Linked DNA regions of Notamacropus eugenii. The protein of the gene in region 4 binds, or shares a complex with, the protein of the main gene of each other region. Links are inferred from orthologs where the notes say so. Each region holds a gene or a part of one and is shown on either strand. Other genes may lie near its edges. The genes, in order: ORC5, LRWD1, ORC4 and ORC2.

What was found.
Region 1: the proteins of ORC2 (region 4) and ORC5 are in contact, whole or in part, in a cryo-EM structure (PDB 7JPO), measured with the Homo sapiens proteins. The link is inferred for Notamacropus eugenii from reciprocal best matches to the Homo sapiens genes ORC2 and ORC5. Residues at the interface, in NP_006181.1 of Homo sapiens: Val240, Glu241, Tyr243, Phe244, Glu245, Ser248, Asp396, Gln398, Arg401, Gly402, Glu403, His426, Asn428, Ala429, Pro430, Leu431, Met432, Trp433, Asp434, His435, Gln438, Trp445; in NP_002544.1 of Homo sapiens: Asp324, Lys325, Phe328, Leu329, Leu359, Asp360, Arg361, Ala364, Tyr367, Ser368, Ala378, Asn379, Phe381, Ser382, Gln383, Thr385, Ser386, Thr389, Asp400, Gln401, Leu402, Asp403, Tyr407.
Region 2: the proteins of ORC2 (region 4) and LRWD1 are in contact, whole or in part, in a crystal structure (PDB 8SIU), measured with the Rattus norvegicus proteins. The link is inferred for Notamacropus eugenii from reciprocal best matches to the Homo sapiens genes ORC2 and LRWD1. Residues at the interface, in NP_001012003.1 of Rattus norvegicus: Val11, Pro12, Ser13, Val14, Gln15, Phe16, Val17, Gly18, Asp19, Val22, Leu23, Ser24, His25, Ile26, Leu27, Asp28; in XP_038945348.1 of Rattus norvegicus: Pro262, Leu263, His264, Phe265, Leu266, Gln267, Cys268, Ser270, Asn273, Ser274, Pro275, Leu320, Val321, Leu322, His323, Lys324, Tyr325, Lys326, Leu367, Val369, Gly372, Phe373, Cys374, Pro596, Pro598, Val599, Ala600, Val605, Ile630.
Region 3: the proteins of ORC2 (region 4) and ORC4 are in contact, whole or in part, in a cryo-EM structure (PDB 7JPP), measured with the Homo sapiens proteins. The link is inferred for Notamacropus eugenii from reciprocal best matches to the Homo sapiens genes ORC2 and ORC4. Residues at the interface, in NP_006181.1 of Homo sapiens: Asp501, Asp504, Tyr508, Ser512, Gln518, Glu522, Val554; in NP_001177808.1 of Homo sapiens: Lys168, Asn169, Arg195, Glu200, Leu201, Lys204, Arg205.

The regions. Positions count from the first base shown.
Region 1 is NC_092874.1:151,805,233-151,812,965, forward strand, and holds the start of ORC5 (origin recognition complex subunit 5), read left to right. Parts: upstream 1-4,729; 5' UTR 4,730-4,954; coding exon 4,955-5,026; intron 5,027-6,324; exon of another isoform or gene 6,325-6,451; intron 6,452-7,583; exon of another isoform or gene 7,584-7,652; coding exon of another isoform or gene 7,653-7,661; intron 7,662-7,733. UniProt on the Homo sapiens protein: Component of the origin recognition complex (ORC) that binds origins of replication. DNA-binding is ATP-dependent. The specific DNA sequences that define origins of replication have not been identified yet.
Region 2 is NC_092873.1:51,644,204-51,651,646, forward strand, and holds the start of LRWD1 (leucine-rich repeat and WD repeat-containing protein 1), read right to left. Parts: upstream 3,001-7,443; 5' UTR 2,732-3,000; coding exon 2,652-2,731; intron 1,557-2,651; coding exon 1,322-1,556; intron 1-1,321. Other genes in the region: ALKBH4 (alpha-ketoglutarate-dependent dioxygenase alkB homolog 4), read left to right, coding at 3,052-3,186, 4,526-4,723, 5,314-5,928. UniProt on the Homo sapiens protein: Required for G1/S transition. Recruits and stabilizes the origin recognition complex (ORC) onto chromatin during G1 to establish pre-replication complex (preRC) and to heterochromatic sites in post-replicated cells.
Region 3 is NC_092876.1:282,812,571-282,820,075, forward strand, and holds the start of ORC4 (origin recognition complex subunit 4), read left to right. Parts: upstream 1-4,493; 5' UTR 4,494-4,724; exon of another isoform or gene 4,725-5,028; intron 5,029-7,505. UniProt on the Homo sapiens protein: Component of the origin recognition complex (ORC) that binds origins of replication. DNA-binding is ATP-dependent. The specific DNA sequences that define origins of replication have not been identified yet.
Region 4 is NC_092877.1:297,133,135-297,140,806, forward strand, and holds the start of ORC2 (origin recognition complex subunit 2), read right to left. Parts: upstream 3,004-7,672; 5' UTR 2,701-3,003; intron 2,582-2,700; exon of another isoform or gene 2,193-2,581; 5' UTR 2,056-2,192; intron 1,363-2,055; 5' UTR 1,320-1,362; coding exon 1,256-1,319; intron 744-1,255; coding exon 600-743; intron 1-599. UniProt on the Homo sapiens protein: Component of the origin recognition complex (ORC) that binds origins of replication. DNA-binding is ATP-dependent. The specific DNA sequences that define origins of replication have not been identified yet.

The DNA.
Region 1 (7,733 bases), on a different chromosome or scaffold from region 4:
CAGGTCCTTAGCTGAGTGACTGTGGGGAAAGGCTAACATGGAAAGCTAATAGTTGGAAATACCTGCTGTAGAGATAATCAAAGGGATATTGAAGAGAGTATAATCTTTAAAAAAAAAAAAAAGTGCAAACTTCCTGAAGAAATTACTTGCTTTTCCAAAGGATTATATTTTTGGGGGGGTGTTCATTAATACATCTAAACTGTCAATTTAAATCTAAATAGATTTCACTCATCTTAATAGATACCAGTAAGAAATTAAATAACTTTGACACAATGTGTCAAATAAGAGTTTAATAGCTATAAAATATTGTTAGTAATAAGACTTGATTTCATAATATTCTTTTTTTATTTTTAATTTTTTAAGATATCCAGTTTGGAGATACAGGGGCATGCAGAGGCCCAGTCCAATTGTGATTAGCACAGGAACTTTGACCTGTTCAGTTTTCAATCTGGGCTAGTTTACCTCTCCTTCAGCAACCCTTTCTATTAATGAAAAGCTCACCATATTAATGCCAAACTTAACCCTATGGCTCAGCTTACTGTACCTCAGACTTCATAAGCTCAAGACAGTCAGGAGTCTCAACCTCCTGGGCAGCAGAATTTATAGCAGCCTTCCACCTTCTCCCAGTCAGTCATAACATTATTTTTTTTTAAAATTAAATTTTTAATTTTATTAAAATTAAATAAATTAAATTTTATTTTATTAAATTTATTTATTAAAATTATTAAATTTAATTATAAATTAAAATTAAAATAAATTCAATTTATTTTATTTTCAGTTCCAAATTCTTTTTTATTTCCCCTTCTACCTGTTGAGAAGGCATGGAAAAACAAAGGTCATTACAAATATGTATAGTTATGAAAAACAAAATCCACAATTAGCAATGCTTCATACCCTTCCAAAAAAAAGAAAACATGCTTCAATCTATACTGAGACAAAGATCTCTTGCTTTCTGTAGGTGGAGAGCATGTCTCATCAGGAGTCCTTTGGAATTATGGTTGGTCACTGTGTTGAGTTTCTAAGTTGATTATCTTTAGAATATTGTTGTTATTATATAAATTGTTCTGGTTCTGTTCACTTCACTTTACATCAGTTCCTACAGATCTTCTCCTTCATCATTTCTTACAAAACAGTAGTATTCCATTCTATTCATATACCTTAAGTTGTTTAGGCATTCCCCAATTGATGGGCAACTTCTCAGCTTCCAATTTTTTGCTACCACTAAAAGAGCTAAAATATATTTATACATATGGGTGCTTTTCCTTTCTTTGATTTCTTGGGGATATATGGTCATACATACAAAGTTGATGTCAATGACTCATCATCAGTAAGACCTAGATAGTAAGACTTCAGATAGAATAAATGCTTCTAGAAAGCAGGGGCTATTTCTTTGTTTTTGTTCCCTCCCTCTCCTGTATCTCTGGGGCAGCTAGGTGGTGCAGTGGATAGAGCACCAGTGCAGGAGGTCAGGAGGACCTGAGTTCAAATCTCATCTCAGACACTTGACACTCACTAGCTGTGTGACCTTGGGCAAGTCACTTAACCTCAGTTGCCTCATCCTGAGCCACCTCCAGTCATCCTGATGAATATCTGGTCACTGGATTCAGATGGCTCTGGAAGAGAAGTGAGGCTGGTGACCTGCGCAGCCCTCCCTCACTCAAAGCAAAGTCAATACAAGTCATGTCATTATTTCTCTGATGGCATGGTCTTCTTTGTCAACAAAGGACGAACACACATTTCCTGTATCTCCAGTGTCTAGCATGGTGTTTGACAAAGGAGCTTAATAAATACTTACTGAAGTGAGTTTTAGCAATGGTAGTGGATTAAATATAATTTTAGGCATACTAATACTTGCCCATATAATCAAGAACACACTACAAATCAATATTAGAATATTTTGTTATTGCAAAGAACAAATTATATTCAAATCAAAGCTCATGTAATTTACTGAGAATGGGTTAAAGAGTAAAGTGCCTTAGGTTTGGAATAAGGTATTTAACTCTCTGCTATGATGTGAGACCTTTAAGTAATTAATTTTTCTTAGCCAAAGCAATTATGGAAAAAACCACAGCTGGGGCCAAGTTTCCTCAAAAATAAAATGTAGTTATTCCTCTACCTTCTTTTTTGGGGGATTAGTAATCTCATCTCTGGATTCAGCTGTTTTATAGCCTCTTTAATGTCTTCCTTGCATGCTTACACCAATGATAATGATAGCTATCACTTATAGTGTTATAAGGACTGTGGAGAGTTTTTCATATATTCTCTCATTTGATTCCCATCACACCCCTATGAGATAGGTGTTATCACCTCCATTTTACAGATGGAGAAGCTAAGGCTCAGTGATTTACTCTGGGTCACACAATCTGTTACAGGCAAGCTGTGAAGCTAAACTACTTAATATGGTCATTCAAATTTGATTCCTCTGAACTACTGCTAGTCTTTTAAAAATTATGCCAACAACTTTGTTCATCTTGATCCATAAAATTGTTATTTTACCAGCCCTAGTAAGTCATCTATCTCTTGACAGAGAAATGATGCTCAAAATGAAGAATGAGAAGTATTTTTGGCCAATTGCTTGACTATGAATATGTGACAAGGGTTGTTTTTTGCTTGCTTTTTAAAATTTTTGTCTGTGTAACTGGACAGGGGTAGAAGGGAGGCAATTAATTCCCTGTTTTTTTCACTGGTGGTTCTCCCCATGCCTAAAATGCTCTTTCCTCACCATTTAGTACAGTATTGGCTTCCTTGTGCTCCATCAAGTTCAAATCCCATCTACCTTCTGCAAGTCACCTTCCCCCCACACTACTATTGCTTCCCCCCTCCCCCAACGTTTACCTACTGTGAATGGAATTATGATTTTCTTATTAAATGATATAAGTATAATGAATATACCCACAGATCAGATTTTTCAGAATTGTTTTTTCTAGCTTGTGAGTCAGATGCTCACAATGCAGCTTGAAATGATCAATCAAACCTTGACAGTGCTCACAATCACTGGCATTCTTGTGCCTGTGTACGTAAAGTGAAGGGAATCAAACACTGTAGAACCTGTTTGAGCCTCAGAGAACTCTGGTTCTGTGACCTACTAAGGAATGATCCCCAAAGTCTTGAGATCCTCCTACAGACTCCAGAATCGTAGTATTGTCTTCCACTGGTGGGCTTGTTATGGAAAACCACATGAGAAATGATTGTTTGTAATCTACATTCTCCCCCCCCCCCCTTTATCATGGTGATTTTTATATAATCTCTGTCTTCACTGCAGCAAGGTGGAATTCTGATGAGGAAAACTGGATTTGCAAATCTCTTCCTCAGAATGAAACTAATTAAATGGCTACCTGATTACTGGCACTTTGTCTCTGGCCTGCTGTTTCTTCATTCCCAGGCTAGAGACTGGCCCAGTGAAATCCTGTTATTGCTACCATTAGCTAGACATCTTGTATAACCGTAGTATTTAGCATGTTTTCTCCCTCATTCGTGCCAGGTACATGGTAAGGCCTGATTGTTTGTGTACTGATCTGCTAAATGGGAAAATAATAAAATTAGATTTAAAAATAAAGAAATGAAACATGCATTTATTAATTGCTAACTATATGCCAGGTACCATGTTACATACATAAACACACACAATTTTATATGTAATTTACTAACTCTTCAGGATGCTGTATATACATTCGTACCTTGCGGTGTGTCTGTACACACATATATGGGCTGTATATTGATAACATTTAATATCATTTTTGGACTTTAACATGGGCCAGAGCCTGAATTAATCAATCAGAAGAAGAGCCTGGATCTAACATTCTCCTTGTTCTCTTAGGTAAACTCAGAGAATACCTCTTCTTATGTCAACAAGGCCAGATGGGGCTGACTTAGCATTCTTTATGAGACCCTTAACGCAAGACACTATCTTGAACAATGGGACTTTTTCCATATCTTAATGTTTTGTGGACATATACTATGTTACAGCACGTTAATGGTAAAGAAAACACAGATATGCTGGATAGTCATTTCAGTTGAAACGGTCACCTCTCTTATTTATAACCTATTCAATTAAGAAAACTCCTTTCTCATGGTATAGTCAAACACATAGAAGAGACCACCAATCTGAGGGGCACGGACATCCCTGCTTGTCCGAAAGCAGATTTAAACCTGGGCATTGTGGGATCAGTCGGTCAGAGATGCCCTTCTCGGCCCGTACTGCCAGCTTTAAGGGAACAACCAAAAGTTTGGTTTTGTCACCAAACGTTCAGGTCGACGACATATAAAAGCGCTGTGTGTTTATGTACACACACATGCACGTGTAATTTGTATTTACACATACACACAATTCCTACGTGTGCGTATTCACCCTAGCCCGTCAGAGAAGCCGGGGTCACCATGCATGTCCTGGGGAGCACCAGAGCGCACCACGAACCTTGCCCAGCTCTCTAAAAACCCCGAACGTCAGCTCCACGCGGCAGGATGCCGGCCCCGCCTCTTTTCATCCCGGCGCCGTGGGCGTGGCCACCCGGGCCCGAGGCCTACCTAAGGGAAGCCCCAGCAGGCCCCCTTCGCTGTCCTCCCGCTCAGCCTCCGGATGACCGGGGGAGGATCTGGGCCCTCTCCTTTTTCCTCAGTCTTAGGAGAACCTAGAAAAGCCCGCACAGGCTGCCGGTACCCCAGGAGGGGGCGTCTGAAGCGGCTCCCGGCCCGCGCGCCCTCCCCAAGGACGCCGACCGCCGACGCCGGCGCGGTGACGTCACGACGCCGACGTGCTGGCGTCCGGCCATAAAGGCTGCTGAAGCCCGGGGAGGTTGGACCGGGGCTTTTTAAGCGTCTAGCGGGCGCTCGCTGGGTGTTGAGTTCCCGTCTGTGTCGCGTGCTCTTCTTTTGGCGGGGGGGCGCGGTAAAGGCCGCCCCAGGCGTCCGCTGCTCTTTTCTCCCCGTGGCGGGTTCATCGCCCCCCTCCGCTGCGATGCTTCCTCTGGAGAACGCGGTGCTTTGTCGCGAATCCCAGGTGTCTGCTTTGACGGCCTTGTTTGGAGAGGTACTGTTCCTTAGACGGCTTCCTTAAACGTTACTTTTCAGACCTCGCTTTTGCCTCCTCAGCCGGCGGAGTGAGGGGAGCGCCGGCCTTGAGTCCGGAGCCCCGAGTTCGAGTCTTGCCTGAGACGTCCAGCGGCTCTGTGCCTCTGGGCTCGTGGCTTGGCCTCGCAGCCTCCGTGTTCTCATCTATGGGAGAAAAAAGTGGGGATCAAAGTCCCGGGTCACTGAGGATCGGATGGGGCCGCAGACAGCCCTCTCTGTCCTCTTCCTCGTCCCCCCAGCTCCCCAAAGTGAACATACTCAGATTCTGCGGGGTCTTGCCACAGGTGGACTAGGCTAAGGAAAGAGACTTGTAGAACTTTGAGAAGCCTTGACTTCTGACCAGTGGCCCAAAATGAAGAGCCTGCGGGGCACCGCAGTTTGGCAGAGCACTTTGATGTCTTGAGGGAGGGAGGGTCTGAGCTGGAAGCCCTAGTGGCAGTTTATCATTATCCACAGTCCCCTTGGAAGGTTGAGTTCGTTTGTGGGGGTGTAGCACAAAGCAGCTTGCCCGACACGCGAGGTCTTGGTAAGGGCTGTATTTTTGAGGTGTGCTGTGTTGGCTGGTTCTGGTTTCAGTGAGGTTGTTGGGAAGTTGGGCTTCATGCCTAGCAATCCAGGAGTTTGCTCTCTAAAATCCCTGACAGCTGGTTTGACCATTTCCTACCAGAACGGTTAGGTGAAAGGCCCATTGGCCAGGGAGAAGACTCTTAGGGAGTTTGGAAACATTCTACCGCCCCCAGCAGGTTTCGAAGGAAATAATAATGCCAAGTGAGGCATACTAATATCTCAGATCATATTCTACTTAGAATTTTGTTGTGGTTACTCAAAATGTGGTCATCTTACTTGGTTCACGGAATGTCATATTTGGAAAGGACACTTAAAGGCCCAATATACGCAGTTTCCTCTATATAACATCCACTACTAAATTAGGTTTAGTGAAAAGACTATTGGACTGAGAGCCAAGGAGACCTGGGTTTCATTCTTTGCTCTGCCACTAACAGGGATAACACTGGTCTTCATTTAGCATCTTGGGGCTTCTATTTCTTTAGTTGCAAAAATGATGGTTCTCCAAGGTACCCTTTCCTCTCTGACTTTCAGTTAAACATCTGGTAATAGGTACTTCACTGTATCACAATGCAGCCCATTCTGTTTTGGGATATCTCTAATTGTTCTTTCTTGTATTGAGACAATGTTTTTGTTTGGGGATATCTCTAATTGTTCTTCCTTGTATTGAAACAAAGTTTTCCTCTCTTTAAGAAAGTGAGAATGCTGTAGGACCTTAACCTGAAAGGGCCAGGGTCTCACATTGCATCCTGGGCCATCTCCAGTCGTCCTGATGAATATCAGGCCACTGTATCCAGATGGCTGAGGAGAAGAAAGAGAGGTTGGTGACCATGCACAGTCCTCCCTCACTCAAAGTCAACTGCAAGTCATGTCATCATCTTGATGGCATGGTCCTCTTTGAGAACGAAGGACAAACACAACAATTATCTTTAATGTCCACCCATTGATCCAAGATCTGTCCTGTGGAGCCATGAAGAATAAGTCTGGTCGTTCTTCTGCATGGTAGCCTTTCATAATTTTGTGGACCACCATCCTATCTTTTCTCTAGTCTGGTCATATCTGTTTTCTTTAACTTTTCCTTATATGCAATAATCATCTCACTGTCCTCACTACTCATACCACCATCCTATAGATGTATTCCAGCTTGCCCAGGGTCACAGAGCTAATATACCAGAGGCATGATATGTGTAAAGAGTCATTTCGCATAATGGATAGAGAAAACTTGAGTTCATTCATTCAGTAAACATTTATTAAGTATGTGCCAGGCATTGTGCTACGTGCAGGGGATGCAGAAAGAGGCCAAATAAATAGGAAATAATTAAAAGAGGGAAATCACTAGAATTAAGAGGGAGTAGAGAAGACTTCCTGGAGAAGGCAGGATTTTAGTTGGAACTTAAAGGAAACCAGTGTATTGGCTTAGGAGTTAAAAAAAGCCCTGATGAGGAATCAGGCAAAACAAAGCAAAAATCCCCAAAAAGGTCCCTGTCCTTGAGGAGTTCATGTTGTAGTGCTTAGATATGTCATTACTCCTATGGTTCTCATTCAGCTAGGATACTAACTGAATTACATAGGAAGTGCATAGTAAAGTTATATATGATAAGTATTTGATAACCTTGTCACCATTTCAACTAATGGTGATGTCAGAGGACCTGGACGTGCCTTTCTTCCTTAGTGGAGGATGAGAATAAAAGAAAAATAAGAGGCAGAGTAGTTTAGTAGGGCAACATGTGACTGGATAGACCCAGGAGACATATGGCGTGGAAAAGTATATCAAAGTGGGGGCCAAAGGCAGCCAGCCATGTTTTACTGTTCAGTCAAGATTTGGCATGGTAGATCAGTTTTGAGACAGTTTTACTGTGCCTCTTTGGAATTAATTATCTTGGGTAGTCACGGCAGACCTTTCTAACCTCTTTATATATCACTTCACTTCCCATATATTTGTTCTAGCCCAAGTGGTCCTGCTGTTTCTCGCAATCAGCATTTCATTTCCCATCTCTCGGGCCTTGCACAAGCTATCCCATATGCTCAGGGTACGTGCCCTCCTCACCTCTACATTTTAGGCTACTTAATTTCTTTTAAAGTTCAGCTCAGGTGCCAACTTC
Region 2 (7,443 bases), on a different chromosome or scaffold from region 4:
TACAGACAAGCTCAGGAACAAGCAATCTTTGCCACCAATCCAGACCTCAAGCTACCAAGTCCCAATGTCAGAGGTAAATGTCCCCTGAGAGACCAGCTGATTAAATTCTCCTCACCTCCCTAGCTCCCATCAGTTTTACACGGGAGCAAACTGAGCCCCAGATATCTTAAATAACTTCCTTACAGCAAGTCAGTGGCAGAGACGGATCTCCTGAGGCCCAGGCTAGTTTGGTCCCCTTCCCACTGGACCATGATGCTTTGCCACAGGCACCACTTGTAAGCTCCCTGAGCTCTGGGTTCTCCTCCAGCCTTGGCACAGAGGGCCCCTTCCCAGCTCACGTTCCCTCTTCTGCCAGGCCTGGCTTCTAGATGAGACTACAAGCTTCCCATTCCTGGAATGTTCTTCCTTTTTACCAAATCCCTCTCTTCCTTCAACACTCAGCTCAACTCCCACCTTTTACAAGACACCTTTCCTGACCCCCAGCCCTCCCCCAGAGCCCTCCTTCCTAATTACTTTGTGTTTACTGTTTACTTATTCTGAATATTCCTTCACAGATGTGTTATCCCTCTATGAATTCCATGTGCTTTGAGGGCAGGGCCTGTTTGGTCTTCCTGGTGGCTGTGCATCCCTTACAGTCCCCAGCACAGGATCCTAAACCTGGAGCTAAAGGGGCCTCTTGAGGACCATCTAGTCAATCAGCAAACACTCACTAAGCACCTACTATATTCGAGGTACCATGTTAATTGCTGGGGATAGAGAGAAAAACAAAAGATGGTCTTTGTAAGTGTAATGGGGAGACAACACACACAACTGTGCACAAACATGTGACGTACAAACAGTTATACCTACGTATACACGTATTATAGTACAGGTGTGCTTGTATTTAATGTACATGCATTTATGTATACACATGGTTACATAAAATTAAACAATATAATACACATGACACAAGACATGTGTAACACACATGTGCTATAAACAGACAAATGCATGACATCACACATATGCTTGTATATCACATTATGTATGTTTTTAAAGAGACATGGCTACACACAGGCTAAATAAGAAATAATCAACAGAGAGAAAGCACTGGATTAAGAAATATCCTGTTCAATTAGATGAGAAAATGAGAATTTCTGCACTTCTAACATGAGACCAGTAAGGTCATAAGGTGTCAGAGGTGGAATCTGAACTCAGGTTCTCCTACTGGATTCTGTGCCTGTTTCCATCCATCCCTCACTCTTCCCATAATCCACAGCACCGCACACTTAGTAGACACTTCCTAAAGAAATGCCGGTGGATGACCCCTGCCCCAGCTCACCGTCAGGTATAAGTTGTCCTCGAAATCCACCTCCTCCAGAGCTGTAAACTGCTGCAGGGGGGTGACATCCTCCAGCTGGTTGTTGGAGCACTTGAGGACCTGCAGACAGGGCAGGTCCAGGCCCTCAGGCACCTTCTCCAGCAGGTTATCTGACAGATCCAGCTCCTTCAGCTGCTTCATTCGATTGAGGAGTTTGAGGTCCAGGTCTTTTGTCTGAAGCTGAAGGTTTGACAAACTGTGGTGGGGAAAAGGGGGGAGGGGGTGGAGGGTCTAAAGGGCTGGGCTCCCCCCAGTCTGGTGAAAACTGGGGGGCTTTCTTCTCTGGGTGTCTGGTCTCCCCCACCACAGGGTGAGCTTCCTGAGGGCAGGGTCTGTCCTTAGCATGCTTTGCCCTCTCCTTGACTGAGGGGGAAGCAGGGGGAAGGATGAGAGGGGACATAGTGCTTGGGGCACACAGGGACAAGGGTCAAAAGTAGTTTTGAACCCCTTCATTCAAGGAAGGGAGTTGTGTCGTCCCTTCTGCCCAGGTCACTCTTCTGGCTCTCCATAACAAGTGAGGGACAGTTCGGTTCCACTGGGGCAGGAGGAGGGTTGGAGCACCAGTCACAGCCCTGGGCAGGAAGGGGGGCAGGGACTCCAGCAGCCTGCATAATACGAGCAGCAGCAGGGGTACCACGGAAAGTACAGTCACACGGAGGGGAGCCGGGCCCGGCACCAGGGCGGGCACTAGCGGGCAGGAGGCCCTGGCACCAGAACGGGCACCAGCGGGTGGACACCAAGGGGCAGGGGGCCCCGGCTCCAGGGTGGCCACTAGCGGGCAGGGGCCCTATCCCTGACCCTCAGGCCCGGCTTGAGCTGCGCCAGGCACAGGACCCCGCAGCGAAGACCGACGTGGGCACGCAGAGAAGCACACCGGGCAGCTGGCGGGGGCACGGAGGGGGCGGGGGTCATCGCGGTGGCCACCTTAGCACCTGTGGCTCCGGGGCTTGGGGGCGTGGCGGCGAGGGTGCGGACACCCGCACAGGCAGAAGCAGCTGGAGGGCAGTGTGCGTACGCACGCGCACAACGCACCTCGCGGACACGCACGCGCACAACGCACCTCGCGGACACGCACGCGCACGCAGTCACCAAGGAGCCAGAGGGGGACACAGAGACAGAAGCGCCGCAGGGACGCACGCACACTGGCCCCCAAAGGCACCATGCGGAGGAACACGGGCGCGCACGCGCACACTCGCACCACGCTAACGCACGCACACGCGTGTCCTCCCTCCCCCGCGCACACATACATATACGCGCACGCGCGCGCGCGCACGTCCCCGCCCAGCCTTACTCGAGCTTCTTGATCCTGCCGAGCCGGTCGGACTTGGGGTAGCCCCTCTGCAGTAGCAGCGGGGTTTTGAGCCGGCCCATGGCCGCCGGCCTTCGCAGGCGCACGCTGCCTCCCCGCCGCGAGGCCCTGCACGCCGAGGCTGGCCGCCACCTGGGGCTGTCTCCACGAGCTCACCCGGGGCCCGGACGGAGGCGACGCTAAAGCTCGGAGCGCGGCCTCGGCCTCTGCCGGCGGTTCGAGCTGGAGAGGTTCGCGCGGCGCCGGCCGGAAAAGGGCCCGGCCGAGCAGGATCCCACGTGTCCTGGCCCCGCGGGACTACCTCTCCCAGCGGCCCCCGCGGCTCGCGCCTGCGCACACGCCCCGCTGAGGCTGCCCGCCCGGCGGCGTTCCGGGCACCGGCATGGCGGCTGCGGGCGGCGGGGGCCGGAGCGGCTGCGGGGCGCGGCCTCGAGGCTGCGGCTGCAAAGGAGTCCGGACCTGCCTGCTGTGCGAGCGGGAGCGAGGCGGCGGCGTGCCCGGAGCCCTGCCCCCACAGGTGGGAGTCGGTGGGGAGGGGCGCCTGGGCCTGGGCGGGCACCCCCCTACTTGTGTGGCTTCGGGCGGGGCTCTTCACCCCAGGGGCTTCGTGGGGGCGGAGACGTCGTCAGCTCCATTTCACAGACGGGCAGACCGAGGCCGAGAGCCCTGAAATTGGCGGCCGCCGCCAGCCCGGCTTGGGGCCCTTGTCCTTCCTGCGGTGCTCCGTCTCCGCTCTGCCGCCCCGATGAGCGGCGTGGGACGGGCGGCCCTGCCCATTCTAGTCCCCACTGCCGGTGGGAGCCGTCCTCGGGCGCTGCTGGGCCCCGCCGGACGGCCCCCCTCCTCCAAGGCCGCCCCCGTGACCAGGCTGCACCGTGTGGTGGGACGGGCACGCGTCTGTGCGGTCCGGGTCAGCGAGGATGGGATTCCTGCGGGGCCTCTCGGGGGAGTCTTGGGAGGGCCGATGGTTGTGTTCGTCCTTCCTTCTAAGAGGACCGTGACATCAAGATGGTGACATGACTTGCAGCTGACTTTGGTCTGAGGGAGGGAGGGCTGCGCAGGTCACCAGCCTCACTTTCTCCTCCTGAGCCATCTGGGTCCAGTGGCCTGATGTTGGTCCGGAGGACTGGAGATGGCCCAGGATGCACTGGGAGACCCTGGCCCTTTCAGGCTAAGGTCTTCTAGCATTCTCACTTCTACACCCATTCAGTGAATAGGCTTCTTTAAGTTACTCAAGGGATGGCCTCTTTAATCCAAAAAAACCAAATCAAACTGGGAGGGGAAGACCCTCAGGATTCCTGCCTAAAAGAGAAACAGTTATGGGCCTGGGCTGGAAGAAAGAATGGGGGAGGAGGGAAAAGAAGAATCAGTGAAACTGGGGGCCCCGGGGCTGCAGGGAACACTGAGTCAGGAGGGGCTGGTGGCTGGGGGGCAGTGATAGAGGGGGAGCAGGCAATGGGCAGAGGAGGAGAGACTTGGATATGCTAGAACCCAGGAACCGGGGAGAGAGAAATAGATTGTTAAACTTCCAGCTTCTCAGGAAAAAGAACATGGGATTGAGATTATCTACCCAGGGATGGCTGGGAACAGAGCAGTGAATTCAAATCCAGCCTCAGACACTAGCTCTGTGAGCCTGGGCAAGCCACTTCACCTGTCTGCCTCAGTTTCTTCTTCTGTAAAATGGGTATCATAATAGCACTTCCCTCCCAAGGTAAGGATCAAATGAGGTATAAGGTGCTTAATGAGTGCTTGTTTCCTTCCTTCCCTGGTGAGGACAGAAGATGATCATGGAGACTTGACCCCTGAAAATGAAACTTGCTCATTCCAGGACCTTGCTTCTGTCTTTTCCTCTGCAGAAGACAGCCCATTTCATCTACTGTTCAGAAACGGGTTTGGCTGTAGGAACAGAGAAATCAGAATTTGCTGGCTGGGCTTTTCCTTTCCCAGGAGTATCTCTGATAAAAAACTTTGTTAGTGCTGAGGAGGAAGCTGAACTGGTTCGGTTAATGGATCAAGATGACTGGAAACTTTCACAGTCTGGAAGAAGGAAACAGGTACAGCCTATGCATCACCATTTGCAGAATTGTTTCTGTGGCAAATGGAACCAGCCACAGGTGGTTGATGGAAGTTGCTATCCCCTTCTGCCGTTAGTGTTCATCTTGCTGTGTTATAGCACTTCCCAGCTGTGTTGTGTACCGATAACAACGCCCTCCCCTGAAGTCTTCTTCAGCAGAAGCCCAAGCTCAGGTGGATCCTACCAAGCCAGAAAGGTGTCCAGCTAGAAACACCATTTGTCTGGGGAATCAGCTCACTGGAGGGCTCATCAAGTGGCAATTATTTTGGCCAGAGCAGCCCCCAGAGACCATCTCCCAAGGTGTGCAGGGAGCTCAAGCCCCATAGCACAGATAGGGGAGCACTGGTGGCCCCCAGATACAGGGCTCAGTGGCTGTCATTGAACCATGGCTAGTTTAGGCCTACAGACATTTGAGTTAGAAATCCATTCTACCTGGATATCTTTGTTCAACTCCTTAGGCACTTACTTCAGATTTGTTTGATAAGGAAATTGCTGGCTGTGAAATTTTTTTTTTAAGTGAAAATCACCATTCCTTTTTCCTTGCCCTCTTCTGTTTTCCCCTTTCTATAGGACTATGGCCCCAGAGTCAATTTTAGGAAACAGAAGCTGAAACCTGGCAGCTTTGATGGCCTGCCCAGCTTCAGTCGGGAAATTGTGCAGAGGATGGGGGTTCACCCCATCCTGGAGAGGTTCCTTCCAGTTGAACAGTGTAACTTGGACTACCACCCTGAACGAGGCTCTGCAATCGACCCCCACTTGGATGACTCCTGGCTCTGGGGAGAGCGGCTAGTCAGCCTCAATCTGCTCTCACCAACAGTCCTATCTATGTCTCGGGATTCAGATGAGAGACTTCAGTTACTCTCTGTGTCCCAGCAGGGAACAGGGAACTCCTTGCCCAATGACACAAAGATGGGAGACCCAGAGGAGGGTCAGAGCACCTGGAGATCTGTTCCGTGTGACCTTGTGGAAGTGGCCATTCACTTACCCGCCAGGTCCCTGCTCGTGTTGTTTGGGGCTGCCCGCTATCAGTGGAAACATGCCATCCACCGCCAGCACATTGAAAGCCACCGAATCTGTGCCACCTTCCGAGAACTGTCAGCTGAGTTCTGTCCTGGAGGAAAGCAGGAAGAACTAGGGCAGGAACTCCTGGAAATAGCTCTGTCATTCCAAGGAAAACCTGTGTGACAGTTCTAGAGAAAGGGAGCCAGTACCCAGATTTGTCAAGAAATGAGTCCAGGACCCAACAGCGCTACTGATCCTGAAAACACACAGTTTTAAGAAAAGCACACTTGAAACCCGGAAGCCAAACGTGGCACCATCGAGTCCTGCTCCATTGTCAGAGCAGTTTGGGGAATTCTCACCTTTCATTGTTTTTGTTCTGGGGGAAAAGTAAGGCTGAGGGCCTTGAGGGTCTGTGCTGGGGAAGTCTGTCCCACTGAGGCTGCAGCTGCCCAAGAGCAGCCAGGCTGCCGGGAGCTCACAGCACACCCTTGTCCCAACTCAGCTGAGAAGATCTGATCCTGTTCTTGGTGGACCTTGGCCTATGAATGTTTCCTTTAGTTAAAAAGGCCCCTAACTAATTATATCTACCTCAACCAAATCAATGTAAGACTAGTGACATCATTCTAAATATACACAACATTCCATGAAAAGATGATTTATGTCATTAAATGTCTATTTTTTTAAGTTCTAAGATGGCGATAGAAGTCTGAACTGCCTGACCTCAGTCATTTGAATGACAGATTTGCTGCTGGTGCAATGCCCCTAGTCTGAGACCACACCCATCAGCATGGGCTGGGCAGCCTTCCCTTGGGCAGGGGTTGGGAGAGGCCTACCTAGGGTTCAGAAGAATCCTTATACAAGACCCAACAAAAGGAATGCCCTGGTTATGAAAAGCTTTCACTAGAGGGCAGAGCCCACGTGCCTGGGCAGAGTTTCTTGTTAGGAGATGTGGACGTTCTCACATTGCTGTAGGACAGTATTAGTAATGCTCCTATGTGCCAGATGGTACCACCCATGCCACCCTCTGCACACAAGAAGGTGGCTGGAACCAGTTTGATTTTCACTGCTTAACAGTGAGGATGTCTGCCCAGCAGAGAAACTGGAAGTTAATAATGGGGCTCAGACCTAACTTCTTTCTGGGGACAAGCCATGGTGAGGCCTGCCGAACTCCATGCAAGCCCAACCCCCTGGCTGCCCTAGGATGCCGAACTCTGAGGAGGTAGCCCTCCAGAATTCCTCGGGTTCTAGAAACCCAAAGTGGCTGGGACATCACTGGGTTGTGTCCTTCTGTCCACTTCAGTTTTAATTTAACATGGGCATCTGGGGAGCAAGCACATACTGGGTATCAGTACATTCTCATACCAGAAGGCTGTCACATCTAATCACGTACCATGTTTCTATAGATTTGTTGGGTTTAACATACCCATTTTCCAAGTTGGTAGTTATATTTTTATGAACTCAAACTGCAATAAATAATACAAAATTCTATATTGAAAAAGAATTTTAGAATTGAGAGATACCTTAAAGGTCACTCATTCCAATGCCCTCACTTAACCAGGTAGGGAGATTTCATCCCCAGACAAATGTAAGGTCCCCCAACTAATCCACAGCAGAGCTGGAATTACAGCCAACAGTTTATAAAGAGCTCTCTCCATTAGTTTATCTCTACTACTTCCTCGTGGCTTCTAAAGAATGTCA
Region 3 (7,505 bases), on a different chromosome or scaffold from region 4:
TAAAACAACTGCTACTTTGCATACCTGGGGCAGGACGTCTTTTTACTCCAATGACCCATCACTGTATTCTTCACCTTATAAAATTAAAGTCAGCTAAATCAGTTTCAAATCAAAACATGCTAGTATGTTTTTTCTAAGTTGGATCAACGATCACTATCTATTACAATCTTATCATCTATCAAAAAAATTCTTTAAGTCTATTCTATGCTTTTATTCAGATGGACAGTAGTCTTTTTCTATGATTAAGTAATATTACTGTATGATTTATATACAGAATCCAGCTGTTAAGGAAAGACTGGAAGGAGGGGAGGATGAAAGCTAGAAAAAGAAATTATTTGAATAAAAAGCTAGGGAGAAAGAGGACGGAGAGAAGCACACCTAAAAAGATAGCATTCTAGTTCCTGAGTTGTATTTATTATTGCAAAAAGTCAGTCATGGATCCTTAACACAATGGTGGAAAAAAAAATGACTGCCTGATTAAAATACTGGGCGAAAAGAGCAAATTTGGAAAGAAACAACCTGGTTCTCACAAGAAAGTGAGAAAGCATTTGCTTATGGATGAATTCAATTTATTATCTAGAAAACTGATGCCAAATTACTTAAATTAAGATAGAAATGTACTGTTTATTGTCATAAAACTATAAGTTTGATTTTTACTTTAACCTTCTCATAGAAAATGCATAGAAAAACCTAATTTCCTGGTTTTCGTACAGACCAAACCTCCAAAACATGATTTTAAAGGAAAACTGAAAAAGTTATACAAACTGAAATCAGGCAGCATGATCTTGTGGTAAGGCCATTTGCTGAAAGTGAGAAGCCCTGATTTTGCCACTGGAAAGCAGTATGACCTTGGACTGCTTACTTAATCATTTTGGGCCTCAGTGGATATATCTTTAAATCGGAGCTGCACAGAGAACTATGTTAGGGTTAAATTATTTCTGAAGTCTTTGCAAGCGAAAAAAAAAAAAAGACCAAAAAACTTTGTTCTTTGAGTCAGAAGGGTTGGATTCGAGTCCTATTATTAGTTACATGACCTTGGTTAAGTGAGTTAGTTTCTCTGCATCTCAGTTTCCTCCTCTGTAAAATGGGAATAATAATATTGGTACTCTCTCACAATGTTGTCCGGAAAGTTCTTGGTAAACCTTAAAGCACCATATGAATATGAGTTATCAGTATTATATTCCTATGACTCTAACAGCACAACTATTATTCCCAAATAAACATGATAAAACCACTACCAATTATATTTTCGAATACTAGTTAATCTTCAATTTGGAAAGTTTAGTATAAACAGCCCACAAAGGGTTACTTAGATAGAAATCTATATAAGGTACTGGGGGAGGTTTTCAGAGGCACAGGGCAAATAAAAGGTATTGTACTCAAGACACAAATTTAAGAAGTTTTACTTAGCTGCCCACTGGGCAACTATTTTGAACCACCCCAGTTAGCTACTCAATTTTCTTCACTTTCAATTGATTCCTTCACTAAAGTGTCACCCTATGTCTCATAAGTTACAGGTTGCTCTGGTTCCATACAGAGGACAGAAAATAGACCTGAGATGATGTTGATCTTAGGGCAATAAACCTGAACATGGCACAGGTTTCTGCTTGCATATGAAGCACACCAATATCACTTCAAATAAAGACAAGAGAAGGACTACACTAATTTTGTAACAAGAGAACAGGAAATAGAATCATATGTTTATTTCAACAGCTTTTTTTCTTGCATGTAAACAACTACTCTTGCACAAGTTGTTAATTACAATTTTACAGAGCAAGTTTCTGCACATATGCATGACATATTAGAACACTAATAGGATCTCCTTTGACTTAGTCTAAAAATATAAGATTAAAATTAAAAATTGCTAGTTATATTTATTTCTCTAGTCACCTATTTATAATATTTATGTTACATATCATTCGAGATTTATTTTTCACCCATCTTTTCCAGGCTGATCAAATTGCTGTTTTCATATTGCTAGTCTGATCACAAAATTGCTGTTTTACAGAAGAATATTTTTTGCTGACATAAATTATGGGATCAGAGATACCAATGCATTTACAAAGAAAGGATTTGTGTGTGTATATGTACGTGTATATCCCTCTTCAAATAAAGGATAAAGAACATGCATGTATGAAACTGAATCCCATTTTCTAACTCAAGCCTTACCAAAAGGCCTACATACTAGCGTTCAGAAAAATACTTTCCAGCATTTGTAAAATGAAAGCACTCTCACAATTCCAAGGAAAACCAGTAAAGGAAGGTTACTAATAAAAATAGATAATAGCATTTTTTAATAAAAATAAAGGCTGAATAAGTTTTAAGCCTATATACGTATGCTATGTTTTTGTCTGACACCATGACTCCTGCACTTTGTGATTTCCTTGATTTTCAAAAGCATCTTTCAAAAATCTTTCTTTTATATGTAATAAGCAAATAGGTTCACTACCCCAAGAGATGAAAAATACATCGCAATTTACAAGAGTAAATAAATAATTCAGTTAAAACTGAAAGTGATACCCAATCCAGCAAACTATTGATGGAAAAGCTTGGCTTTCCTTGAAATCAAAATAACAAAAGTTTTCAAGTGGGGGTGACTTGTTTCTGCTAACTTAAAAGGAGTAGAATACCCAACTTAATTATACAGTAGTTATAATTCAAGCTTACTGAAAACAAATTCAATCAAAAATGAATGTGGGAAAAGAAAATACAGGTATTTTTTAAACTTTGCCTTTTGAGCATTAAACTTTATGTAGTGATATATGGAACCAATTAGATAAAAAGTGAAGGATAGTAGACAAACCATGCCCTACCACTTCTGTTAGTAAATATTTTCAATACTTTACAAGAGAAATCTATATCTCTGAGAAACAACCAAAAACTGAAATTTCAACCACAAAACCAAAAATACCAAGAAGCCTATTCCAAAACTGGAGTCAATATCCAAATTAGATACAGGGCCAAAAAGGGGAAAACTCACGTCTATAAATGGGCAAAGTAGTTCTAATACAATCCATATTATGACATTTCCCCACTCAGAATCAAAACCAGTGTAGGTTTTACTGGGCAAAGAGAAAAAAGGCTCTGCAATTGAATTTTTTTTAAAGTGACAGATCTAAAAACTCTCTCTCTCTCTCTCTCTCTCTCTCTCTCTCTCTCTCTCTCTCTCTCTCTCTCTCTTCTCCCCTCTCCCCTTCTCCCCCCCCTCCCCTGCCAGCCCCATTGCAGGAATGGGTTTGTTTTTCTGTCTTACCCCACAGAAGCAGAGACACAATAATCTGCCACATGAAGGGGAGAAATCACTTTTGCAAACAACAAATAAAAATAAAAGTATCCTTTTCCTGGCTAGCAAGAGGGAGATGGGAATCCCAGCACACACACACACTTTCTAGTCCATCCCCTTCTTCAGTCCCCCCCACCTCCCAGCACCACCACCTACGCCCCCCACTTCACCCCCCGATCTCCACTGCGTATGTGGTTTGGTGCTACTGTTGCCCCGAAGTGAAAGTCAGAGCCAGAGGGAGGCAATGAAGCCCCCACAGACACACTTACCTTTCCTGCCCCCCACTTTTGAGTCCCTTCCCTGGAGCTGTGGAGGATGACACAAAGGGTAATAAAGGGGGGGAGTGGAGGAGGAGGAGGAGGAGAGAGGAGGAGGAGGAGGAGAGCAGAAGGAGGAGGAGGAGAGCAGGAGTGGAGGAGGAGGAGGAGGAGAGCTGGAAGTGGCTGCTCCTGGGTGTAGTGAGATGTCTCCAGCCAGGGCCAAGCAGCAGCAGCAGCAGGAGCTTTAGCAGCAGCAGCAGCTTGGGCAGCAGCAGCAGCAGCAGCAGCTTTAGCAGCAGCTTTAGCAGCAGCAGCACAGAAGGGGCTGTGTTGCTAAGAGGCTTTTGGTCTCTTTCTCTCCTCCTCTCACGGCCAAAGAGAGGGAGGTGGAGGGGGTTGAGCAGAGACAGGAGGGGGGGGCAGGAGTGGTAAGGGGGGGTTGGAAGAAGAAGAAGAAACTCTCCTTCTCTCTCAGGCTCAATTCCCCTCTCTGAGCTCAGGGGTGGAGGGTGGGGGAAGGAACTCAATCGCCTCCCCCCTTCGCAATTCAAGGTTGAAGTGGGGTAAAATTAGTGTCCTGTCCCTTTAAAAATAGAAATAAAAGGTGCCCCCCCTTAGCCTCTGCCTCTCTCTTCATCATCAGCTGCTGCTGCTGCTGGGGTCTCTCTGGTTTGGGGGGGAGGGGGGTTCTGTTAGAAGAGATGGGAGGTTCTCACTGCGCATGTCCCTCCCTGACGGGAGGCTGGTTGGTCGAGGGCAGGAGGAGGGGGAGGGGAGGAAATGAGATGGTTACCCAGAAGGCATCTCGGCGCCCGCGACCCGGAAGGTGTTGGAGGGAAGGACGGGGGTGAGGGATAACGGGGAAGGAGGCGGGGGCAGGGGGAGACTAGGAGGAGGAGGAGGAGGAGGAGGAGGAGAAGAAGGAGGAGGAAGTTGAATTCTTCAGCTTCCCCCTCCCACCTCCAGGAGAGCTGATGAGCGGAAGTGGGCGGGGAAGGAGTAGAGGGGTCACGTGTGATGAGAGAAAGGGGCGGGCAGTGGACTGGGTGGCCCTGGCGTGGAGCGGAGCATGCCGGGATCCATCGCGCCCTGGCGGTGGCAGGAGCCTAGTCTAAGCCGTCAGTCAGAGGAGAAGGGGGCACTGCCGCGGCCGCCTCGGGACGCGCCGTCTTCGTTCTCCGGTAAGGACCTAGGCAACCTGCGTAGGCATTTAATCTAGGGCCGAAGCAGGTTGCGATGGAGAGAGGGAGCGAGGCAGGCGCAGATTCCACCGCCCCTATGGTGATGGGAGAGCAGAAGAGGAAGGAAAAACGAGGAAAGCAGGCAGGCTGGCTAGGCCGGACGGACCCAGATAGGCCCCCCCACCCCCGATCCCAGCGCGGAGGCCCCGGCTCGCTGTCTGATGCGGAGGCTGCCAAGGTCGCGGCCAGACAGGCGCTCGTTGTGGCGGAGGAGCGGTGTTTTGAGAGGGAGATGGCGCTTCAGGTGAAGGTGCCGAGGCGGGCGGTAGGATGGACGGGGGTCCATCCTGGAACGGGGGAGGGGATGAGGGGGAGAAACTGTCTTGAAAGGACTGGCTGGGCAACCTGACGCAGATGTGTGCATTTTTTCCTGAGGTGCAGTCCAAGTGTTGATTCTCTGCGCCATTCTGTCGTTACCCTTGGTCGCCCCCACCCTCTCCATCTGCTCCCCGTTGGGGGAGGGGGCCGGCGCGGACGCCTCGCGTCTCCCCTGGCCTGCTGTTCGCCGAGCCTCCACTCACTCCTACGTCTTCCCTTCCGAAGCCACGGATGAGCTTGTGTGGCCGTAATGACGGTGAATAACTGAGACTTAGCGTTTTAAGGACATCTAGGGATAGATTAGGAAGAAGGGATGCTCTTGGCATCATTAAATATTTAAGGAAAGAGAAGGTTGGTGTTGAGAATCGTAAAAAAAAATTAATGGGGAGGGGGTTTGGTTCGATTTCTTTGGATTTTAAGCTAAATTTGGTCCCCTACCCAAATGAAATGCTGAAAATTTCATCTGTGAGGGAGGAGGAAGGTTAATATTAAGTACTTGATCTAAAGGTCACGTTTAATCTGAGTGCTGGAAGCTAATGGGGTTGAATAGGCAGGGGAGTTTGCATAAATAAAGCTTCTTTTGCAGAACTGCATAGTGCTGTTTTTTTCTCCGTTTCTAAAAGACATCTGATGGAGATCTTTAGGAAAAATCTTTTTTTAGGGTACTTATTTTTAAAAGATTAACATCAGTGTTTCAGGAGCTATTTCTCCTAAACAAAAAATGTAACATGAATTCTTTCTTATGAAACAACATCTTTTACAATGCGTTACAGATACCATTTAGGAGTCCATCTATTGTTACAGAAACTATTTTCAGAGTTTGATTTCTTCTATATTGTTTTGTGCATCAAAACCTTAATTCACTAACACTCAAAGTTCATCCCTTTGTAGAAGGTTACAGACTGAGTTATAACACAGTTTATTTGATTTAAAGTGTCCATGAGATTTATGTCTGAAGCTAAAAAACTATAGGTGGAGGACTAGAAAATATTCATCTATATGAGATGTTAAACAGCAGAGAATTTTATTGGGAGAACTGGGGAATCCTTTCACTTGAAGATATTCGAAAAGAGACCTTTGGAAATAGAGGCATACTCAAAGTGAATAACTTTGATTGAAAGGATGCTTATTTTTCAGATGTTCTACTTGTGTACACCATTTGGAAAGGTAAAACTGGTGTCCAAATCTTATCATGTAAAATATACACACACCCCTACCCACCCTTCTGTAAACATTAAGGATTGCCTGTCAGCTCCAGAATAAAATATAAAATCCTCTGGTGATCTAAGTAAACCCTTTATAACCTTGCTCTTTTCCCCATATTCTGTGGTCAATGACACTGGCCTCCTTTCTGTACCTCCCACAAAGCATTCAGTCTCCATGATGCTGAGCATTTTTGTAGGCTATCCTCTGTACTTGGAATTATCTTCTTTTTTATATCAGTCCCTATCTTCCCTTCGAATCTCATCTCAAATCTCACCTTCCAAAAGAAACCTCTCCTGATGCTCTCTAAGGCCTCATACCTTCCCCCTGGTTAGTTATCTCTTAAATTGTCCTGTAAAAGTTTTATTTGTACATAGTTACATGTAAGTTCCACATGTCCTGTTTCCCCCCACCACCCAGCACTTTGGGAACAAAGGCTAGGTTTTGTTTTTTTTATTCCTCTCTTTGTATCTCAAGTGCTTATTACCACTTTGCATGGTTCGTAGTAAGCTCTTAACAGATGCTTGTTGAACAACAGATAAAATCTCAGCACTGAATTGTAATGGAAAATGTGCATTTTCAATGATGCTGAACTTCATTGTTGCAAAATTTTAATGCCAGTTTTCTTATTGATGGTATTTGGCTGCAGATGGTAGAAGGGCAACCTTGAAAGAATCAAAAGTTAGGATAAGACAGAGAAAGGAAGGAAAGTTTTATTTAGCTCTTACAATATGGGAGAGGAAGGTACCTGGTTTTTAGAGTATGATTTGAAGTCCAAAAAGTCAAGGATAGGACTAGGAGGACAAAGAAGGCAAGTTGTTGTGGGCTTTTCCAAAACAATGAAACCTCCAGGAGGAACTCAGCACTGGGAGGAGATTGAGCAGGTGACAGGGGTGGTTCTTTAGAAGGAGTTCTTAGGCACTCAGGCAAGTTCCAAGGTAGAAAAGACATGATTATAAAGTCCAGAAAGTGGAGGAAAAAATTCATCCTTGGATCCAAAATAACTTGCTCCGTAACCATGTCACAGTGTTGATTCCTATTGATTACATGTGAATCTTGGGCAAAGTTAATAAGTAAAGGGTATGTTGATGGCCATGAAACATTTTTTTGTTTGTTTGTTTACTATTTAGTTCCTTTGTAAAAAAAAACCAAACAGCAGCTTCCATTCTTATGTTTTCCAGCAGAGCCACCTTTTTACTT
Region 4 (7,672 bases):
ATTAGAATATTGTTTTTAAAAAACTAACTGAGATCATCAATTCAACACCAATTTGTACCTTTTTTTTTTCTGTTTAACTATCAAGAGAACTCAATGTTGAGTTTTCAACCAAAGGTCACATGAGGGACCAGGTCAAAGTACCATTGGAGCTACAAATCCATCTTCATTCATGGAAAAACAATAAACAATACAGGCTTTATTGACAGCGACAGGACTTGTACCTATGATTTCTTTGGGTATAGGGAAATCCTCAGTAAGCAAGATCCCTCTACAAATGCAGGACAGCATTTCTCTGCAAGAGAAAGTCTCAGAGTTGCCTGGAGTACCAAGAGGTAAATTGATTTGTTTGTTTATAAGGTAAGCCTTAAAGAAATATGATCAATATTTTTGAGGCAAGACTTGAACCCAGTTCTTTTTGACTTCAATGCTGGCTCTCTCTATCCAGTCTCAGTAGACACTACATGCTGTCTACTAACAGGAAGTCAGAAACACAATGTTCATTTATAAGCAACATTTTGCTACTTATCCTACAGCGTGGTAGTATTTTTACATATTGACAATTAGCAGAGATTTGAAGTTTTTTTTTTTTCAACAAATACCTTGAGGGTCTGTTCCTAGAATATCCACATAGTTCTCATCTTTTAAATCCTCCTGGTCATCTTCATTTAGGTCACTTTCCTGCTTCTTCATTAGTTTCTTTACATTCACTGAGAGTTGACCTCGATCCTTTCGAAATTTAGCCCCTGCAGTTATAACCAAAGAGCAAAAAATAACCTAAACTGAAAATCCTCTGAATGTTAAATTAGAAAAATGGTTTTCTTTTGGCATTATTTTTGCATTTCCTAAATTTTTTAAAGATGGAAAGGAAGAATAAAACTTTATCTGTTTAAAGAGTGTATATACTTTTCTAGAACTGAGTTAACGTCAACCTTCACAAATACTTCAAATTAGATATTTAAATTTCAAACATAAGCCTCAACCTCAACTGATAAAATTCACATAATTCTGTAACCAGAATTAACTGTTGCTACTAAGCAATCTCACAAGTTTCATAGAGTTTTGCTAATTTGGTTTCTTAGTTAACAGCATTTAAAAAAGGAAAACTCAGAAATAAAGATTTTTATACACAATCTTAGTATGTTAGATCAAATATCTCTGATATTTAAAGAAACAAAATATTTTCATCTATCAAAAGGTGAAACAAGAGTCAAACATTAAACAAGCATTTTTCCAAATACAATTAGACATTCTGTACCTTCTTCTTTATCAAGAATGTGATTAAGAACATCATCATCCCCTACAAATTGAACTTCCAGCATCCTGACTTCTTGAAGTAGCTTCAAATGGTTCACCACTATCAACCTTAACAGAAATAATAAAGCAATCATTCATAAGGGCCAAAAAGATTTATGCCAAGTACATTTAGGCAAATTTAAAATTTATGGTACATCGAGATAACCTCTAAAATACAATCTTTATCAGAAGTCTGGTAACTGGTTACCAGCAGTTACTAGCCTGAATCAGGCTAGTAAAGTTACATATTTTAATAATTTTTATAATTATAATTTAATAATTTTTAATTCATTTGTACAATTTACATTAAAAAGATTTTTCCCTTTTGAAAAAGGACTTTACTTAAAAGCAGGGAAAGAAAAGGGAAAGAGGGGAATAAGCATTTACATAGCACCTACTGTGGACCAGGAGCTGTGCCACACAGCTTTTTACAAATAGTAACTCCTCTGATGCTCACAACAAGCAACCTTGTGAGGCAAGTATCATCTCCATTTTACAGCTGTGCCAACTGAACCAAACAGATGCTAACTGACTTGCCATGGGTCACAGAGCTAGTGCCAGGGTGAGGCCCCAGGACTCCAGCCCCAGCGTTCTGCCCACTCTTCCTTATCTGTTCGTTAGCTGCAATGAACACTACCAGATAACGTCACACCCTAATTCTACGTGATAAATCAATCAAGTATCCGTCGGATAGAAGCATCCTAACAGCTCCATGCCCCGTGTACTATTGTCCCAGGTGTGAGCAAAAGAATTCCCACTGACCTCTGCCCCAATCCACCCGCGCAGGCAAAAGGATCTTTTCAGTCTTCACAATTCTGGATTGTCAGTAGCGCTGCCAATGAAGGCGTCTGAGGGTCAGGGCGGAGGATGGAATTTTAACGACACTCGCTTACCACCTTCTATGCGATAAGCATGCAAGGGTGAAAAAAGAGAAGATCCCGCCCTTAAAAAGAAGGCTCGGACGAGTCAGGAGACATCAATAACCAAAGTCAAAAGGAGGGGGATTATCCCTCGGGAATAACGAGTAACCTGGAAAGGAGCTGTCCGGACTCCAACCACGCGAATTCACCAAACGCTTTACCTGAAACAATGTTAGCCCCATTTTACAGGAAGGAGAAACTGAGGCACAAGAAGAAGGAAGACTTGCGGCCAAGCCAAACCCCTCCACCACAAGCCTCTCCAGCTCCCAGCATCTCCGGGGCGGGGCCCCCGCCTCCCGCGGCGGGAGCCCGGAGCCCCACGCGTGCGGCCGGAGCCCAGGGAGGCTCCCAAGGGGAGGAGGAAGCGCGTACTCGGAAACCCGCCCATCCTGGCCCGAACCTCCGGCCTCGGCACGGGCCCCGCAGGCCGGCTGGGCCGGGCCCGGCCCGCCCGGCCTCCCAGGCCCGCCACCGCTCCCACGCTCACCCGACCGACAGCCCGAGACTAAAGAGGGTGAAGAAACGATGCTAACTCAACCTCGACGGCCCGGCAACGGAAGGCAGACGCAGACGGGCAACTAACGCCACAGGCCCGGACAGATGGCTGAGGGGACAAGGAAGGGGATCCTCCCGACACACACCGAATCTCCCGCCCTGCTCAAAGGGGCAGCCCCTGAAGCTGCCAATGGGAAGCTGAAGCGGCGGAGAGCGATGGGCCAGCGAGCCAATCAGCGTCCCCTTGCCGTGCCCCGCCTAGAAACAGCCGGAGAAATGGAGACTCTCCAGGAAACAACAATTACCCCTCCCTTCTTGGGCAATTTCCGGTTCCGGGATGGCGTTGGTGTACCCGCAGGGCAAACCGCTTCGTGATTGGCTAAGGAGGAGAAGAGAGGGGCGGAACAGAGAGAGCGGAAGGTGTAAAGCGATTCCCCCCCCCCCGCCCCCCCCCTCCCCTGCCCCACACCAAACCACGTGGTAGATCTCGATGTTTGGACTCGTGCAAAGCAGCCTAATTTTTATGCTGGCCTCGAAGCAGGCTTTCCCGTTGTACCTAAAAGGGGCTTAATAAACTTTTGTGGAGTTGTGGAGCATCAAGGGCAGCACAAGTGGATCCAGCTGAGTGAGACTCCTCTTCCTCTGAGTTGACTGTGGTGGTCTTCCAGCCGAGCGGGATGTTGTGAAGTTCTGTTCATCTGGTTTGTGTGTGTCTTTGTGGGTAGACTCCCAAGTATTTTGTACCTGCCAAGAGTTATTTTAAATTGAATTTCTCTTTCTTCTGAGTTTTATTGGTAATATACAGAAATGCTGATTATTTATGGGGGTTCAACTTATAATCTGCAAATTTTTCTGAAGTTCCTAATTGTTTCAATTAATTTTTAGTGGATACTGTGGTTTTCTAAGTAAACCAACATATCATTTGAAAAAACTATAACTTTTCTGAAGTAGCATGACTTGCACTTTATCAAATAGGAGTGGTGATAAATGGACATTCTTGCTTTAGCTCTGATCTTATTGGCAAGGCTTCTCATTTATCCCCATTATGAGTAACTCTGTATCTTTGTCTTGGAAATATAATACTTAATTATAATAAGAAAAAATTATTCTTGCTTTTTAGTCATTTTTAAAAAATATAAGAAACGTCATTTTCTCAGAAGCTTTTTATGTATCTTGATAAAATCATGATTTTAAAATTGTTAATATAGTATCTTGTTTCGGTACTTTTATTGATATAGAACCAACCTGGCATTATTGGTATATAGACTTGGTCAAAGTGTAAAACCTTTTTGATATGTTGCTATGGTCTCTTTGCCAATATTTGAATTAAAATTTTTGTGTCATTCATTAAAGATACTGATCTTTAGTTTCTTTTTTCCATATTAACTTTTTCTAGTTAGGTATTATGACATATTTGTGTCATAAGAGGAATTTAGTAAATCCCATCTGTTCCTGTTTTTGTAAGCAGTTTATGCAATATTGGAACTAATCTTCTTTGAAAATTTGATAGGATTCATTTACAAATCCATTTGTTTCTGGACCTTTTTTATTCTTTGGGAGTTTATTTATGGCTCATTCAGTCTCATTTTCTGAGATTAGATTAAATTCTCTGTTTCTTGTTCTGTTAACATGAGAATTTATATTTTTGTCTACATTCATTTAAGTGGTTTTGTTGGCATGTTGTTGTCATTTTCAATCATGTCTGACTCTTCATGACTCCGTTTGGGGTTTTCTTGGTAGAGATACTGGAATGGTTTGCCATTTTCTTCTCCAGTTCATTTTACATGTGAGGAAACTAAGGGAAATAGAGTTAAGTGACTTGCCCAGGGTCACACAGCTTATGTCTGAGGCCAGATTTGAATTCAGGAAGATGAGTCTGTCATTCTATCCAATGCACCACATAGCTAGCATATCACTGGGCAAAATGGTTTCTAACAATTTTTTTTTTTAATTTCTACTCTTCTTTCATGGTAAATTTGTCTTTTTCATTTTGGATGTTAATAACTTAGTCTTCCTTTTTTTGAAAAATCAAATTAGATAATGGTTTACCTACATTATTTTAATAGTCTATTAATTCAATGATTTTTTGCTTTCAATTTGATTAATATCTTTGTTTTGTGTTTAATTTAGGTATTTTAATTTGTTGTGTTTCTGGTTGTTAGGTTACATGCCAGATTCATGGATCTGTTCTTTCTTTTGTTGATGAAAGAATTTAGAGTTATAAATTTTTCAAATTCATGTGTGTGTGTGTGTGTGTGTGTGTGTGTGTGTGTGTGTGTGTGGTTTCTATACTCTTTGACTTGTTCACATGAAACTGAGGTTCAGGTAATATCTGTTTCCCCCAACTTGTTTACCTCCTTATTTGCATATTCTTCTATTTGAGCACCCAGAATATGTAAAACAGAAATTTTTTCTCCCATTTCTTCTCTAGTGTATTTCTTTTCCCCTACATTTTCTTTTTTCTCTTACGATAATCAAAACATAACAAAACAACTCCCTAAACCTTTATCTTATTTAACTCCTGCTATAACCCTTGATGATTTAGGTTCTGAGATGACATGTTTCCTCACCCTATATAATCTGTTCCAATTGCTCAAGCGAATTTACCTTTTTATATTCCTCTTGACCTATACTGTTTTATATTCCTCTTCACTTGCACTTCAAACACAGTACACAGCACTTCTATGGTCTTTTCATTAAATGTTTAGAAGTTTTCTATTTCTTTAAAGATCCATTTTCTCCCTTGTAGGATTATTTCAGTTTTTCTGGGTAAGTGTAATGCTAATGAGATTGAAGATCTTTCCCACTCATTAATGGGCCTACCTCTTAAGGGGAATTTGATTAGGGGAGATTTGTATGAAGGCTTATACTTTTTGTTAAGGAGCACTGGTTCTCAAGGGTTGTGATGCACTCCAGCTCCAAAAAAGTGTACATATACTATGAGGAGAGGTTTTGTTTTGGGGCTTATTCATTGAAAGTGTTTGCTTGGCCAGACCAGACTCAGGGCAGACACTAAAGAGCGCCCCCCAGCTTTGAAAATCTAGATGTTGGTGCTTCTGTCTCTGGTAACTATGTATGTATGGTCAGACAGTTATCTGTCTAGTGACCTGTGATGTATGTATTACTTATGGTCAGACAGTTGGAAGCCCTGTCTGTTGGTTGATCTTTGTTTCTCTGTATTTTCTCCAAAATTCAGGGTGCTGACTTTTTCCCCTGAACTAAGTAAATGATGTATGTGCTTGATTAAAGTGATTGTTGACCCCTCAAAAGTTGCTTTCCTTTTAGAAATGCAGATCTAAGAACCTGTACAAGCCCTTCTGTATGTCAGGGTCCTTGATAATATTATAAGTTATTCTTGGTTTTAAGTCTATGGTGGATTTTTTTGGTCTTTTTTTCCTTTTGAGAGTATCATTCCAAACTCTCCTATCTTTTAACTGATAGGAACCAAATCTTGTGTTGTCCCAACTGTGGATCCTCTGTACTTGAATTCTGTCTTTCTGGCTGCTTTCAGCAATTTTTCCTTCACCTGGAAGCTTTGGATTCTGGCTATGATATTCCTAACAGTTTTCATCTGGGAGTTCCTTTCAAGAATTCTTTGATAGATACTTTCCATTTTTATAAGACTGGAGCATTTAACCCGCTGATTTCTCAAAATGTGGTATCCAGGCCCCTAACACACATAGCGATGAGATTTTTCCTTTACTAAAAAAGAAATGGAAGCCACCTTCATACCATCACATTAGTATCATTTTTATCATTTCCATTGACAAATTATTGTCTCTACTTTTTCTTTGACCCAGTCATTCTTCAAGATTATATTAGTCTCTACTTAAATTTAAATCCTTTCTTCAAATTTTCCTTATTGATTAACACTTTCATTTCATTGTAGTCTGTATTAGATGTGCTTAATATTTCATTCAGCTTTTTTCCATTTGTTTATTTTTTAGAGGCAGCTAAGTTGTACAGTGGATGGAGTGCTATACTTGGAATCAAAAAGACCTCTTTCTAATCCATTATGCTTCCTACATTTTATGAGTTTGTTTTTCTTTGATCCTGTTTTGACCCTTGAAGCAAGTTACATTCTGAAGGGACAGCAGTTCCGTTTCTCCAATTAAGATATAAGCACTTGATTATCATTTAGTTTTTTTAAATTGCTTGAACCTATTTTGCCTTTCTAGGGTTCTCTCATCTCCTGCATTTACATTTCAAAAATTCTATCTAGCTTTGTTTTTTTTTTCCCACCAGGAATGCTTTGCTGTCATCTACTCTATTGAAGATCCATTTTCCTCCCTGTAGGATTATGTTCCTCTTTGTAAGATGTTATTCTTCATCCCAAGTCTTTTTCTCTTGCCTTGTGTTTTACTCTATTCCAAGATTTCCTTTCTTTTATAGTAATGGTTGCATAATCCTATGTGATCCTGACAGTTTTTCTTTGGTGTCTGGGATCTTCCTGACTTCTTACAGTATTTTTTTTTATCTGAAAATTCTGGAGTTTGACAGTTAAAATCCTGAGAGTTAAATTTAAGATTTACCTTAAGCATGGACCTATGGATTCACTTTGTGTTCAAGTTCCAATAGTTTAAGGTGGTTAAAAAATTATAATACAAAATTTTATCGATGTCTTTTGTTTTCATACCATTTAACTATATCTCTCTTCTTACCTCTTCCAGAAATCCACATCTCATAATAAAGAATAAAAAATGGAATAAAGAAAAACACATCCTACAAAAATGAAACAACATATGAAGAAAGTCAGATGTAATTTGTAATGGTCCACACCCAGGGTTGCTCACCTCTGCAGAAAAGAAAGTATCCTATCTCTTCTTTGGGGCTAAGCTGGTCATCGTCCTTTCATAGCACTCCATTCCAGTCATTTTGTTATTGTCGTTACTGCTGTTATTCTATCCATTTACATCATTGTAAATACTTCCCTCTGCAGGTGTTCATAGAAGTAAATCTTCCCA